2 linked regions of the Bombyx mori genome follow. The protein of the gene in region 2 purifies or fractionates together with the protein of the main gene of each other region. This does not show direct contact. Links are inferred from orthologs where the notes say so. Each region holds a gene or a part of one and is shown on either strand. Other genes may lie near its edges.

What was found.
Region 1: the proteins of sorting nexin-4 (region 2) and sorting nexin-30 purify together in Homo sapiens (co-immunoprecipitation; 4 studies listed by BioGRID and IntAct, counting the BioPlex papers as one, with this or other methods). This does not show direct contact. The link is inferred for Bombyx mori from reciprocal best matches to the Homo sapiens genes SNX4 and SNX30.

Annotation. Positions count from the first base shown.
Region 1 is NC_085130.1:9,747,186-9,754,577, forward strand, and holds the start of sorting nexin-30, read right to left. Parts: upstream 4,197-7,392; 5' UTR 4,072-4,196; intron 2,595-4,071; 5' UTR 2,590-2,594; coding exon 2,455-2,589; intron 1,818-2,454; coding exon 1,698-1,817; intron 1,130-1,697; coding exon 988-1,129; intron 1-987. Other genes in the region: Cdk9 (cyclin dependent kinase 9), read left to right, coding at 5,192-5,876, 6,421-6,506, 7,056-7,193. UniProt on the Homo sapiens protein: Involved in the regulation of endocytosis and in several stages of intracellular trafficking. Together with SNX4, involved in autophagosome assembly.
Region 2 is NC_085115.1:12,909,414-12,917,826, forward strand, and holds the start of sorting nexin-4, read right to left. Parts: upstream 5,212-8,413; 5' UTR 5,071-5,211; coding exon 4,993-5,070; intron 4,919-4,992; coding exon 4,812-4,918; intron 4,367-4,811; coding exon 4,228-4,366; intron 3,518-4,227; coding exon 3,340-3,517; intron 2,771-3,339; coding exon 2,632-2,770; intron 1,743-2,631; coding exon 1,615-1,742; intron 1-1,614. UniProt on the Homo sapiens protein: Involved in the regulation of endocytosis and in several stages of intracellular trafficking. Plays a role in recycling endocytosed transferrin receptor and prevent its degradation.

The DNA of each region.
Region 1 (7,392 bases), on a different chromosome or scaffold from region 2:
GCTGAGACGTATCTATCGCGACTAGACGTCTGACATGCAAGTTGCGACCGTAACAACAGTACATAAAGTAGATATTTGTTTGCCTCTAACGTCTATTACTTGATAACTTCTTAAATTCTTTAACATTTAAATTTAACCTATTTTTCCCTAGCTTGTAAAATTGCTGTAACATGTCATAGTGTTGTTAAAAGAGATTGTTGTACATGCCTGTACCTGGCTTACATATCAGTACTTAAATTTATACAAGTTAATTTTAAGCTTGGATGTTTTGTGTGTATTGCTGTTGGTGTGTCCTGAATGAATAAATAAATAACACCAAGCTGCTAAGTTTTACCGGGAAACTGTTATTAATTCAAGTTTGAAGGGGGAATTGGGAGGGTAGATATTTTTTTTATTGCCCTTGTAGGCAGACGAGCATACGGCCCACCTGATGGTGAGTGGTTACCGTCGCCCATGGACTTCAGCAATGCGAGGGGCAGAGCCAAGCCGCTGCCTACCGTTGAGTACTCACTACAAGCCCCGTTTAAAGAAGGACACGTCATAGCGCTCGAGAAACATCGTGGAGGGGAGCTCATTCCAAAGCCGGACGGTACGTGGCAAAAAATATTTCTGGAAACGCACTGTGGATGACCACAGTCAGACCAGGTAGTATGAATGTAATGAGCGTCATCTTGTATAGGGGACAAGTTGATAAAGTGTCCGTCTGTAAGCAGCGCGTTGTTGTTGGAACACTCACCGACATAGCGCTAGTGTAGGAAGGGGGAATTATATGAATATAACAGTTTTAAACAGAGGTGCGCGCAGGTTGAAGTGAACTGTAGTAGCTTATGGCGCTGTTTTTTAACCTCTCCACTTGCTGCTCCTGTGGCGCCACCTAATTTACTCCCTTACACCGGACGCTTTTTAAAACACTGAGCTGGTGTTCCCCTACTTCTATCCTCTATAGTTTTAATATCCTTATAATATCCTTTATCATTGTCTCCTCACCTAGAAACGCGTTGAGGGCTAAGGTCCTTATGGCGACAAACGACGCCGAGTATCTGTCGAGCTGCTGGCGCGCGGAGTGCAGCGGGGGCGCGGGGGGCGCCGCGGTGAGGGGGTGCGCCGCCGACAGCCGCTTGTGCAGCACCTGCAAGCCGCCACGCCCTGCACGCGATCTGAACTACCCAGAGCATGCTGACCTCGACTGTGGTCGTGAGTGCTCCGTCGCTTGTTCGTCAGGTCTACTAGGTGGCGCTGAGATCTCTATACAAATCATTCCCAATCCTGCAGACCGAATGGTAAACAGTCGACGTCGCCCAAAATACGTCATTACGGATCCTCCCGATCCACTGACATCATCACCACAGACCATCGTTCTCGTCAAACCCACCGCTTGCGACGAAGGGTTCGGCGAATAAATTACCCCACAGGCACAGCCCACTGAGTTTTTCGCGGGATCTTCTTAGTGGGTCACGTTTCCGATCCGGTGGTAGATTCTGCAAAGCACTGCTCTTGCTAGGGTCAGCATTAGCAACTTCGCCAGGTTTGAGCCCCGTGAGCTCATCTACTTGTCCGGTAACGTTGATATATAGTCTCTCAAGGCTATCAGCATAGATAGGAAAAAATATATATACAAATCTCATTGAAAAATATGAGACATAATATGAGAGTTCTTCACACTAGCTTGAGACATCGGATGCATGAATCAGGCTAACCTTAAAGTGATTGTACCGTCGTCTCACGCTGGGCGGGGTCGGCCACCGCGCGCACACGCAACGCACCCGGTACGTCACATACGTCTCGAGGGTCGACAGCTGTTTTATGGGGGCATCGACCTGCAACACCAAGCCACGAGTCAACACACCATAACATATTCCGTAAAACGCTGTCTAATCTAATTCTAAATAAAATTTTGTAGCTGCTTTTCAGCAGTTTTTACCGGTGGTAGGACCTCTTGTGAGTCCGCACCGGTAGGTACCACCACCCCGCCTATTTCTGTCGTGAAGCAGTAATGCGTTTCGGTTTGAAGGCTGGGGCAGCCGTTGTAACTATAACGAGACCTTAGAACTTAAATCTCAAGGTGGGTGGCGCATTTATGTTGTAGATGTCTATGGGCTCCCGTAACCAGTTAAGGTGGGCCGTGAGCTCGTCCACGCATCAAAGCTATAAAAAAAAACCTATGAGTAGCTAGTGTAATTTTTTATAAAAGTTAATCTGAACGAAATTTGGTATTTTTTCTTTATTTTTAATTTGGGTACTACATAAGAAATATTTTTTTTATTGTTTTATTTTGAGTCCCCAATAGCTCTACTATGAGGGGTTTCAGGATTATCCATTCTTTCTGGGACACCCTGTATAAGAGTATATATAATAAGAAATACTTATCATGGCAATAATGTATGTATTGGCATCAACATATAAGCCATCAAGTAGCTAAAAACAGGACTGTAAAATCAATTTGGGTGTACTTGCCTTAATTGCAATGTCATAGCCGTGCTCCATGATGAGCGGTGATGGCTCCTGATCGTCCATGAGAGTCGGCATGTCCATATCGTCGGAGTCAGCATCTGTCATGTCCAGCATTGCTGAACTGCTTTCACTGGCCATTTTGTCTGGAATATTCAGATTTTCATTACATCATTATTTTGAATAACAAATGATAACAGTTTTTTTTTTTACAATTTTTTATTTATTTTGTAGGCCTATGGATTTCAAATGAAATATAATATATCTATATATTGTTCTTTTTATTTGAGCTAATTTTAAAATTTTTAACTCCATAAAGTTTTTATTGTTTTAATTTTTATTGGCCGGTTTATATTTTTGTGTGATTTACACTGCTAGAGCATAATTGTTATTTTTACTATGTATTTTCCTGCAATTGAGGGAGTATAGAATGATAAGAACTATTTGTTACCTTTTTAACAATTTTCATAATCAGTGTATCATTTGTTGGAAAATCAGAATAAATTTAAAAAATAATAATTTGTTTATTGAATGTGATTTATTTATAGAAATCTCCTGGGCCTTTGACAGTAATTTCCGAAAATGTTGTATAGCAGCTATTTAAGGAAGGATTTTTTAAACAAACTTTTGTGTCACGAAAAATTAAAAAATTAAATATTTAATTACAAGAATATTTCAAGATAATTTACACACCAAACATAAAAGTATTAATTTTAATATTTAATCTATCGAAAATTGATCAGAATTTAGGATAAATTCAATTCATTTAATAGTTAATAACTAGTTAGTAGATGTTATAAGTGTCCTATTAAGGAAAATTGTTAAATTAGTTTACATGTTTTGTTTCTGAAATTCTATTCTATGAATTATTATTATGAAACTGAAATGTGGTTATGGCTGCCAAAGCTAGTTAGTTCCTCTGGGCAGCAGTAGTACTACCAGGTTTTATGCCAGACAGGCCATCTTTGATAGCTATGGTAAAAAAGGTAAGATTGTTTATCTTTACAGACCCTCTAAGACAACTCGTAAACTTGAAGGTACTAATTAGATGCTATTCTTGAGGCAGTAACAAATCGAAAGAGTGTCGTGAATTAATATATATTTATAACTTTATATACTTATAAAGGCGGACTTAAAGCCATAGGCATTCTCTGACAACCTACCTTAGGAGGGTGCAGAGATGAACCTTGTTAGGTGTAGTGTGATAGTGATATAACTTAAACATAGTAATATATGTATATATAACATACATAATATTTATAGATACAAATACTCGTACTTCAATAAATACATATACATAATAAATATTATCAAAGTCTAATCTAATATTTTCTCTAATACTAATCTAATAACTAATCTCTAATTAATAATATAATACGCCAAAGTTATTCAAATATATTTACAGTAAATTTAAATGGGCGTATAACTAGTGTTCGTATTAGTCCATATAGTTTTATCAGCGGCACACGCAGTGATAGAAAGAATTTATAAAACTTTTTTAAGAAATCACTTTTTGTCGGCCTACTTTAGTAATTCTGTCACGAAGCGCCTAGGTATTAAACTCAATTAAACTCAATTAATGTTTAGTTTATTCAAATTTTAGTATAATATTGCGTTATTTACCTCGAAGCGTCTTTTACTATTGTTGTGAATGTGTAACTTTTTGTAACAAAAACAAAAATCAATTCCGATGACACATTGACGTTTCTCTTTATTCGTTTTCATGTCAACGTTTAAGGGTCATTGACATCAAAACCTATAAACTCACAGTTTACCAATTTTAGATGTCTTACAAGCAATACTTTCGTTTTAGTCGATTTTTTGTATTTTCATTTATTTTAGAAACACTGTAAATTAATTAATTTGTTTTAACAGAAATTGTGGTAACCTGAATAACATTCAAAGAAAAGCAGTACATACCATCTTAATAAAGTTATTTAAAACCATGGATGTTTACTTTATTGTTAAATTAACTTTTTCGTTACAACTTCAGCCAAGTTAAATTGAGTAGATCAATAGGTAGTGTTTTAGTCCAAAATATATGTAATAACCGCTGCCTATTTTACCGTTTAACGCTATGCGAAACCTCATAAATATTTGAAATAGTCACTGGGTATGACTTTTCAAGTTCTTACAAAATTTTCTTTTTCCACTAAATTACGAAGTTTTAATGTGTGTTTCATTTCTAGCCATCCGACAATTGACCAAATCTTCAATGCTGTGGGTCGTGACCTCTATGGGATTTCAGAATCTCTCCGGTGGATTATCTTACGCCATACGTCGATATATTCTCGACGCTATAGATGACCTCAAATACGATAGTGTATTTGCGGTACGGATTTGGTCTGACCAGCGCAGGGGGACCTGCCCATCAACAACATCTAATTTCATTTAATTCCAATCCTCAATTAACTCTACTTCACTTTTTAAGCAACAGATATGGCGGGCATTGGCCTTTGGTACAAAACATTTTGATTTGGGCTCTTTTCTTTGCGTATTCAATAAATAAAAAATAAAAATTGATATTGACAGTTGACGTTTTAATTAGTGTCACAGTCTTCAGTCAGTGTTGCATTTCACTTCTTCCTATTGTGATTTTGCTGATAGGGTATCAATAAATTTCGCCGTTTCCAAGTGAAAACATAATTAATGTGAAATTTTTTAAAAGCTTTGTCTACACTACAATTAAAAATATCATATTCATACTAAAAGTTCGTTGAAAACCGCCAAAATTACGTCCAAAATGCAAAGCGTAAGTGCTCCGCGGGAGCCCACGCAACCAGTTTTAAGCACAACTTCAACTATATTAAACATGAGGGAAAAGGAGAAATACATAGAGGAATTCGACTTTCCCTTCTGCGACGAGTCTTCCAAATACGAAAAAGTAGCTAAAATCGGACAAGGAACATTCGGTGAAGTGTTCAAAGCGCGCGCGAGAAACAGTAGCAAAAAGTTTGTTGCCATGAAAAAAGTCTTAATGGACAATGAAAAAGAGGGTTTCCCGATCACGGCCCTGCGGGAAATAAAGATCTTGCAGCTCTTAAAACACGAAAACGTTGTAAACTTGATAGAAATATGCCGCACGAAGGCTACGGTTCACAATAAATACCGTTCCACTTTCTATTTGGTGTTCGACTTCTGCGAACACGATCTAGCTGGCCTGCTATCGAACGTGAATGTTAAGTTCAGTCTCGGCGAAATAAAAAAAGTCATGCAACAATTACTGAACGGACTTTATTACATACACAGCAACAAAATACTCCACAGAGACATGAAGGCTGCCAATGTACTAATAACAAAGAATGGAACATTAAAACTGGCTGACTTTGGACTTGCTCGAGCATTCAGCGTCGCAAAGTCTGGACAAGCCAATAAATATACTAATCGTGTTGTTACTTTGTGGTATAGGCCTCCAGAATTGCTGTTAGGTGAGTTTTTAAAACATATTATTTATTAATGAACAGTGTTTTTTTATGTAAACCATAATTTCTGGTAATAAGACAAATTGAGCTTGGATGAGTGGGCACCATTATTCTACTAACTCCTGTTGCTAAGTAGTAAGGCCTTGAAGTAAGCTCCCCTCCATGATGTTTCCCGAGAGCCTGTCTGTCGTCATGTCTTTCTTCAAACGAGGCTTGTGGAGAGTACTTCACGGTAGGCAACGGCTTGGCTTTGCTCCTAGTATTGCTGACGTTCATAAGCTACAACCACTCACCATCAGATGAGCCTTCTGCTCATCTGCCTACAAGAACATTTTTTTTTTTATCTAAAGCATCGAAGCAGTCATACATTTTAGTTTAAAGGAGACAAGTGTTATGTTATCTTTCATAGTGGGAGTGATTTTGAATAACTTATAACTAACATTTAATAACATGTAATAGTGAGTTGTCTTTGTCTGCTCATTTAGAAAAATATATGAAAAATGAGCTGTGGTGTGTTGTATCAGCTTTAACATGCCTTATTTAATTAAAGGTGACCGTAACTACGGTCCACCAGTGGACATGTGGGGAGCCGGATGTATCATGGCTGAAATGTGGACTCGCTCCCCGATCATGCAGGTTTGAAACTTTTCAAAGATACCGACCTGATTAAAACTACTTTTACAGTTTAATCTAGTTTTTTTTGCAAATCTAGTCAAAGGAAATAGATGCAGGGCCCTTGCTTAAAAATGCAGTAATAAGTTTTTGTGTTATCTAGTCAAAAATCACTGCTCTTGTAATGGGAAAGCATAAAATACCAAACCCTCTATTGAGTTTATTCAATAATAAACTTGCAATTTTATAATGATCACAAATTATATGCCATAAACCCCAAATTTAATGGAGTATTATTGGATAGACTTATTGGTTCAATGATGTTCATAGATAAAGGTTTACAATGAGTCACAAAATCTACGAATTATTTCTTTTCAAATTGATAAATTTTATTGTAATTGTATATTCTGTAGATATTTATGTTATTATTTTTAGAATATGTATAGAATAGTTTTAGAAATGACAGACTAAGAGGCTGAGGCTCCAGAAAGACAGACGATACACCACAGATCAGCAGTTAAAAAAAAAATTCTTGTCTACCATGGATCTTTGATTAGAAATGTAATATTTCAGGGTCCGACAGAACAGCAGCAGCTGATATTAATATCGCAGCTGTGCGGTTCCTGTACACCTGATGTCTGGCCCGGAGTGGAGAACTTGGATCTTTACAACAAAATGGAGTTGCCAAAGGGTCAAAAGAGGAAAGTCAAGGTGAATATGGAATTTAATCATTGAGATTTTTATATCTATTGGCTTAGTAAGACTGTTTGGTCAGAATCAGGGTACCTATGTACTCAATTGCAGTGTGGAAATAAGACATAATCATTTTTGAAAAAAAAAAAAGTTTTTTTTTTATCTTTGGCCGATAACACACATTCCAAGATGATATTTAAGGTCAAGGCTCAACACA
Region 2 (8,413 bases):
TTCACGTTACGAGTGTATTGGCTTGACATGTTAACTTGGCCATGTCAACCAGACTTTACTCTCACAGTAAATTATACACCCGATATGGTAACAGTGCCATGTCGTCAGTACATCTAACGTAACTCAACAAGAGCCTACTATACATGAACACACTGAAATGTGATGTAAAATGCTCACAAAAACTACTAACTTTTACTAATGGTTCATGGTACAAAAATCATGATGGTAATGCAAATAATCTATTTCTATGACGATATCATAGAACACCCCGATAGAAACGCTGTGCACACAGTGAGTCCTGCATCGTCAGAGATTGAAGACGGTCATGACATCGAGGTGAACGTGGACGTCCACCAGTCAGGAGAGGCCGTATTAGAGGCGACTTCTTCTTAAGTCAAAGTCGATGGGCGGAGCCATTGATGACGAGCACTCACGTGGACTCGTGACGTCATCTGGAGGGGCAACCGACCGACCAGCGGGGACATCACGCCACCTCGGATCACTTTGGCTAGCAGCGCGCGCAGCGTTCACTTGTCTTAGATTTAATATTCTGTGTCGATCGTTCCTACCTACTTTTGTATTTTTTTTATTTATTTAAATTATTAAGCCGTTGCTAAAAATATATAATCTGAATCTCGGAAACGGCTCCAACGATTTTTATAAAATTTAGTATACAGGGGATTTCGGGGGCGATAAATCGATCTAGCTACGATTTATTTTCAGAAAATGTTGTTTTATTCGTGTTTTCAATAATCAACTTTATCGATAATCAACTTTATAACTCTTCCCGACATCTATTGGCGAATAATAATACTATTTTTACTGCTTTAGACACAACAAGATGGCGTTATAAAAAAAAAAAACGAGCAAAGCTCGGTCATCATCTAGTATCAATTTAACTTAGCAGTCAATAAGCAAATGTCACAATAGTATATATCGAGGGAAGAAAAGCTCTTTAATCGACTACCGCGGGGACACTAGTAATTTAAATCGCGTCCGTGCCGTATCCGCTCCACGCGTGCGCCGCGCCTTAATCCTTACGCCGTTTGTGTGTATTTCGCGCTTTAAGCTGCTTTCAGTCTACGCTATAGCATAATAGCATATATTATATATTGTTATAGACACGTTCATACTGTACTGAGTCGACGTCGCCCAAAACACGTCAGCTCGGATCCTCCCGATCCATTAACGGTGCTTTTAGGTACCCCAAGCACCGGTCATCGTTCTCGTCGAACCCGTCGCTTGCAACAAAGGCCTCGGTGAGTAAATTAACCCAAAAACACAGCTTACTGAGTTTCTCGCCTGATCTTTTCAGTGGATCGCGTTTCCGATCCGGTGGAAGATTCTGCGAGGCACGTCTCTTGCTAGGGCCAGTGTTAGCAACATCGTCAGGTTTGAGCCCCGTGAGCTCACCGACTAGTGACATGACATGGTCTCTCTAGACCATCAGCTTAGGTATGAATAAAAAGAAGAAGAAAAAAAGTACTGTACTGTATATTATTGGCTAAGTATACGCTGGTATACTATATGACACTATAGTATAGCACAGTCTGAAAGCAGCTTTAGAAGCGAGTCGCGAACGGATAGAACTAAATTCGAGTTTAAAGTCGTTACCGAAATAATGTCCGGCCTTCTGCAATCCGTCTCCCATCTCCTTCTCGATGACGCTCCATTCACTAAACAGTTTGCCGTAATTCGCGTGCAGTTTACATAGAGCGTAATTTTTTTCTATTATTTTGGATCTGAAAAATAATTTTGGGATGATTAGTTTTTTGAGTAAGTTTGATATTTTAGTTTTTATTGCTCAGATGGGTGGACGAGCTCACAGCCCACATGGTGTTAAGTGGTGACTGGAGCCCATAGACATTTACAACGTAAATGCGCTATCTACCTTAAGATATAAGTTCTAAGGTCTCAGTATAGTTACAACGGTTGCCCCACCCTTCCAACCAAAATGCATTACTGCTTCACGGCAGAAATAGGTGGGGTGGTACCTACCCGTGCGGACTCACAAGAGGTTTTACATGAACATTTTGATGAACGTCACTAACCTACAAGTAAAATATTGAATAATATTAACAAGTGTATATATGTATTGAAATATCAGTCACTCATTATATACTTAAAATTTTGAGATATAAACTCTTTTTTGTGATCTAAGTGCTCACTAAGAACGGATTTTATGTAAATCTTAATCAGAGTGGATATACTATTCTAGGTATAATAGAAACGCATATATTTAGCAAGCGTCGCCATGGCAACCGCATGGGACTAGCAGCCTCAGTACCAGAGAGAGTGACATGATCAACTATTGTAACACGATAATGTTTCATAAATTTTAACATCAATTTAGAGTTAAATAAAGTTGAATAGCAGGGCATATTTAGTGTTGCAAAATGTTAAAATGTACAATATGAAGATTGTTTTCTATAATTAACTCCATTGCTTCTTTTTCACTGAAGATGTCTTCTAAAATGTAAGGCATTAGTGCTACATTGTAGTTATAGATTCATTTCTTGAATATCGAAGTGTTAGGGCATTGTTACTATCTTGCTGCTTGTTTAATTTTAATCTTTACTATTTCAATCTATATAACTTTAAATTTAATTTATATTTATAAGTTTCATTTACCTTGTATATAAAAAGTTTCCTAAATTAGTTTCTAATTGTTTCCCGTAGTTTTTGAAGGACTCAACCTCAGGATCGGGCTTCTTCAACCTTATAGATACGGACAGTGATTTTATTTTATTTTCAGCTTGTAGTAAATATCCTGTTGGAAAAACGTCATGCAATTACTTTTTTTATTGTCCTTGTAGACGAGTAGACGGTACACTTGATAGTGAGTGGTTACTATCTTTCAGGATCACAGCAAAACCGCTGCCTATCATTGAGTAATATCTCCACAAATCTATTTGATTTTTAACTAATTCAAAATAATAATATGAATTGTTCATTACTAAGTAGGCTTTTTCAATATTAATTGCATAGATGGAACAAGCTCCCAGCTCACTTGGATGTAGTCTGGTTAAAGAAGTCAAAAGATATCTCAATGTGAGTATGTCGAAACAACTAGAGTCATGATGTTGAAGTATCTCAACTGTATTGTATATCTTTTCTATTCTTGAAACTGGAAACATGGATCTTGGAAATTTCAAGTATAAGTTACTTTACTACTACTACTAAAACTTTTAGCTAGTTCAGTCAAAGTTATATCAATATTTCTGTACATAATAATATGTATATGTTAGAGTTGTATTCTATTTTTATACTTATTACAATATTTTTTATTAAAATAGTGTTCAGATTTATTTATAATATGGAAATTGCATTTTAACTTACCACTATCGGTGATAGTTTCCCGCCAACCATGTTCTTCTTGTAGGAAATTAATGAATTGATCATCGAAACATAGTCGAGGGTGAGATGCGACTCGTAATAGGAAATTTTCTAAGCCAGCTCGACGGCGCTCCACAAACTCCGGGTCTGTAGTGTCCGATTTGCGCCACGCGTAAAGCACCTGATATTAAAGACTATGTTAAATTATTTTAAAATTTAGTCTTTATATAATTTTTTTTTCTTTAAAATTTCCAAAAATAAATTATAAGTTTTCCTAATGTATCATAAAGGCAGCTAGATCGAAATAATATATCCAGGTACAATAGATCCTATTTGCTAATAAGTAAACAGATGTTGCTTGTATGTAATACTTTTTCTGACAAAAAGGATAATTACGAAACAATAATCACTTATTTATTGTTGTTCAATAAATTAATCTAATTTTGTTTTTATGTTAGTTGTGTTTTTTTTGTTTTGTAGATGTTATCTATATAATCTCATAATAAATTTAAATTAAAAAAAACTCTATAGTGTATTTTCAAATTATTTCTAAAGCCAGGACAGGAATTTTCTGCAAATCTTGAGTCTTGCACAATAGTCTACATAATCTGTAGTAACACCTGTTAACAGTGGACCAAATTCATGCAATACAAAATCTCATGACAAAGAGTTCACCATTTCTCTCAAATCGTCTTGTTGTTTTAGATCCATTTCAATTTACAATTTAACAAAGAATTTAAGACATATTTCTTAAAATATTAAGTGTTTTTAAAAAAACTCAATTGTTATTAAAAAATAATTAGTAATTAATATAAATTTTCTAAAACATAGGAGATTTAATTTCTTCATCACTTATGACATATTTTGGTTATATTTTAAATATGACCTTACCCTTTTCTCTGGTAATGGAGGTATAACAACATGTGGATATGTGACTTGTAGGTAATCATGTATTTGTTCGAATTCAGTGTATCTCCTCCAGATTGTGCTTATTTTTGACTGTACTAATTTGTAATCAGGATCTGTAACTCTGCAAATAAAAAATTATTATATTCATGATGTTAGTTTAGTCCAAGTGTTTCCAGTCAGGCATCAGTCGATGATGTGGGTAAGTGCGTAAATACAAAAAAAATCGGAGAAAATTATTTTTTTCACAAATCACTTTTATTTTCTTTGAGCGTGTTAATCAAATTTTCTTCAAATTGTATTATTAAAACATTGATTAAACAAATGACAAAAAGAGCAAGTAAGTAAAAAAATAAAGTGATAAAGCTTTTTGTAATATTGTGTTATTTCGCTTTTATTTTTGTTAATGAAAACACAACACAAGGGTTGGCGTAAATTCGGAGAATCAAAATTCCATCGCAACCAATCTCCACGAGTATAACGTTACTCAACCCGTAAACTATTCAAATTGGTCTAATTGACTGCCTATTTGGGTGCAATTTGTAATTTCAATCATAGTTGAATCTTACTTTAAATCGACGAGATATACTGTGTAATGATCTCTGACGTGTAGAGTACCATTAGCTCGTTTCTCCGACTCCACAATAGTTATATCGACATGCTTCAACAGTGTGTCCTGCGAAAACAAACCTACGTAAATAAAATTATTAACATACAAAAAGAAAGAAGGCGTAGGTAATAAAATATTACCTGATTTTCGAAGTCTTCTACTGTTTTTATTGCTTTTGGCGATTTAGGTGATTTGACCGGTGTATTATCTTTAGACATTTTAAATATTGATAACAAAGAAACAATTAATATACGGAAAACGAATGAGGATTTCCCAAATTATTAATTTTTAATTCTTCAGGTAGGCAGTGATATGACAAAATAAATACGTCAAAATAGCAGTTAAACGTCATCAGTGACAGATGTGTTTTTTTTTATTTGGCGTAGGGATAAAAAGCAAATTTCTTCCTTTCAGCCAGCAAAGGTGAAATTTGCTGGGATATGTATATATTATATATTATCCCTAAGTACCTACCAAGAACGAAGAAATATAAACCGTTTATAAGAAAGCCCGCTCGTTCGAATTTAGGTGCTTACTCTCCCTTAAACAGAATCCTTTGGGACTACAATAATGTCCACGGTAGCGCGGTCTCCGTCAATGTTCCTTCGGAGTTGTCCGATTGCGCTGAACTTATTTTAAGTGAAATAGATGTTTTTTCAAATTGTCTCACTACTTACAGGAAAAATCTGTCGCGGATCATCTCCCAATTAAATTAATCTTAAGCAATGAATGAAATGTATCCAATTCTTAGCTGTATATTTTATTTTTATTTTTGATGTTAATGCAATGTCGATTGCACCTATAATTGAGGTGACATCTGCCATGAACTTTTGTCAATTTGTCAATGTTTTGTATTGATGATCACTTTGTTGGTGCAACTTATTAAATAAATAAAATAAAATAAAATAAAATTTGTAGCAAACCGACCGGTACGTCACTCTCGCGGCCGTATGCCCGCTCGCTATACATAGTTAGCATCTATGTCAATCTTTTCAACAGTGTATAATCTATGTTCCGGGCACTTCCGTTTTGAGTGTGAATAGCGTGCGCCCGCGTCTAAATGTAATTATTGTGTAAAATTGAAATTGTTTGTGATAAAGGAAGATTAAAATTCGAAAGTCGATATTGGTGACTAACCCATAGTTTTAAATACCCCTGAGATCTACCCCTCACTATATCTGGCTGCCCAACGTTTCCTAATTTTTTTCTTGCTTGGACTAACAAAATGGCGCGCACGCTTTTGTGAAAAATTTGCTAACTATTGTATGCTGTTGGTGCTTAATTGTAAAGAATGCCTTTAACTAGAAATCAAGATCGCCAGCAACGTCGCGAAGACGACGTTATTCCTGCTGCAGATGCAAATGCCAACGAAAATCACGAGGAGCATGATAGCCCCCATGATCGCCCCCACGCCGAATCACGTAGCAACAATTCTACGTTCAACCTGGATGATGTTTCAGCGTTGATGGCCTCGCTGCAACGTTCGCAGGCCGAAACATTTAAGAACATTATGTCGTACGTGATGGAACAAAGATCGTCGACTCCGGCACCTCCGCCGATGCCCCCAGTGAACGTAGATGGTACCTTGGCGCGTTGCAGAGCTTCTTTCAGCGGTGCACCTGGTGAATCTGTTGAGGCCTTTATAGATGCAATTGAAAGTTATACAGAATGCGTTCAAGTATCTGACGCTAACATCATACGAGGCCTAGCCATGCTTTTGTCTGCTGACGCAGCTACGTGGTGGCTAGGATTAAAGCATCACATCTCCACTTGGAACGAAGCCAAAGAAAATTTAATATATGCATATGGCACCCGCCTTCCACCACATAGAATATATTTGGAAATATTTGCTTCCCCGCAGGATAACGAAAACACAGACAAGTTTGTTGCTCGTATTCGTACGCTTATGGCAAAGCTACCGCGGGATGATATTACTGAAAAAGTACAACTTGATATGATATACGGGTTGCTTCATAATAGAATACGCACAAGATTGCGCCGTGAACAAATCACATCTTTCAATTCATTATTAAACCATGCTCGGAATATAGAAGATTCGATAGAGGAGACTCAATCGAGACCAGTGTCGTCCACTAGTGGTGTGCGTTCGATCCGTGCCCAGCCGGCCCAGGCTGCGAGTCGGCCTGAACCGTGCGCCGCTCGTGCGAGTGCCCCGGCGCCGCGCGCGCGCTTTCCAAACTCCGCCGCGGCCGTCGTGCCCGCCACCGCTGTGCCTGTCGCTGTCGCCCAGCCTGCCGCTGCCACGCCTGCCGCTGCTGTGCCAGGTTCTGCAGAGCAATTCGTGACCACGAAGAAACAGCGTCCAGTGTGCTCCTACTGCAAACGGTTTGGACATGCACGGGAACAGTGCCGTAAGTTAAACAACCGAGGTGAGCAAAGTCAATCTAACTTTTCCGAGGGTGTGCAAAATGACAATAATGCGTTTTATAGTGTTCAGTGTAATGTTAATAATACTAACACAATTAGTTCTAATTTACCTGTTCAGAATGCAATGTATGATGTTAAGCAGCATGACAAAAATAATTTTCTGAGTAATTTTGAATGTCAAAATTTTTGTAACCGGGATGCAAATATTAATTATGCTACCATTAACAGAGGCCCTACTTCCAGAAAATCTTATTTTCATGCCTGTAATGATTCTGTGTCAAAGAATATTAACTGTAATTGCACTAGTAATAATGAGATGCCAACCTTTTGTGATTCTCATGTTTTATATAATCAGGATGTTCGGACAAAGTGTAAAAATTTAAATATTTGTTATAACCAGGGAACTAGACCTAAATGTAAGAACTCAATTTTACCTTATAATCAAATAATTGAACCAAATTGTAATAATTTAAAATTTTCAACTAACCATGACTGTGACACAAAAGGCAGTAAGTGTAATTTTGGAAAAATTAACGAATGTGTGGAAATTGATAATTGTTTGAATTTTAATTATTGTACATGTGAGGGAAGTGTTGTAGCGTCCGTGTACGACCGTGAGAGTGATGATAGGTATTTGCATTTACGGCCTATTTTCAAAATTCAAGTTCTCGGTAAACAGGGTACTGCACTTATAGATACACAGCTAAGCATTGTATTGCTGGTCACACGCTGTATGCTCTCCTTCTGCAAAAGGGTCACCCTCTTACTCCCTCCACTAGGCGAGTCAAACTTGCTGATGGGCATGTTCGGAATATGAATGTATTGACAACCATATTACCAGTGAGGTTAGAACACATAGTGATTGATATTCCATTTATAATCTTCCCTGATTCTAATGATAATGAAACTTTACTGGGTATTGATTTTATTAATGCTGCCAAAGTTATTATTGATTTTCATCGTCATGAATGGTATTTTAGTACTGATGCTAAGGTGCATTATAAATTACTTTTTGAACCTATGTCTCGTGGTGTGTGCATAGCTTCTACTAACATGCTTCGGGATGATGAAGGTATGCACTTGCAATCAGCTGAGCGCCAAGCATTATCCGAGTTCCTTATTCGGCATGAAAGTATTTTTACAGCAGGGGGAGGTCCGACACCATTCATAGAA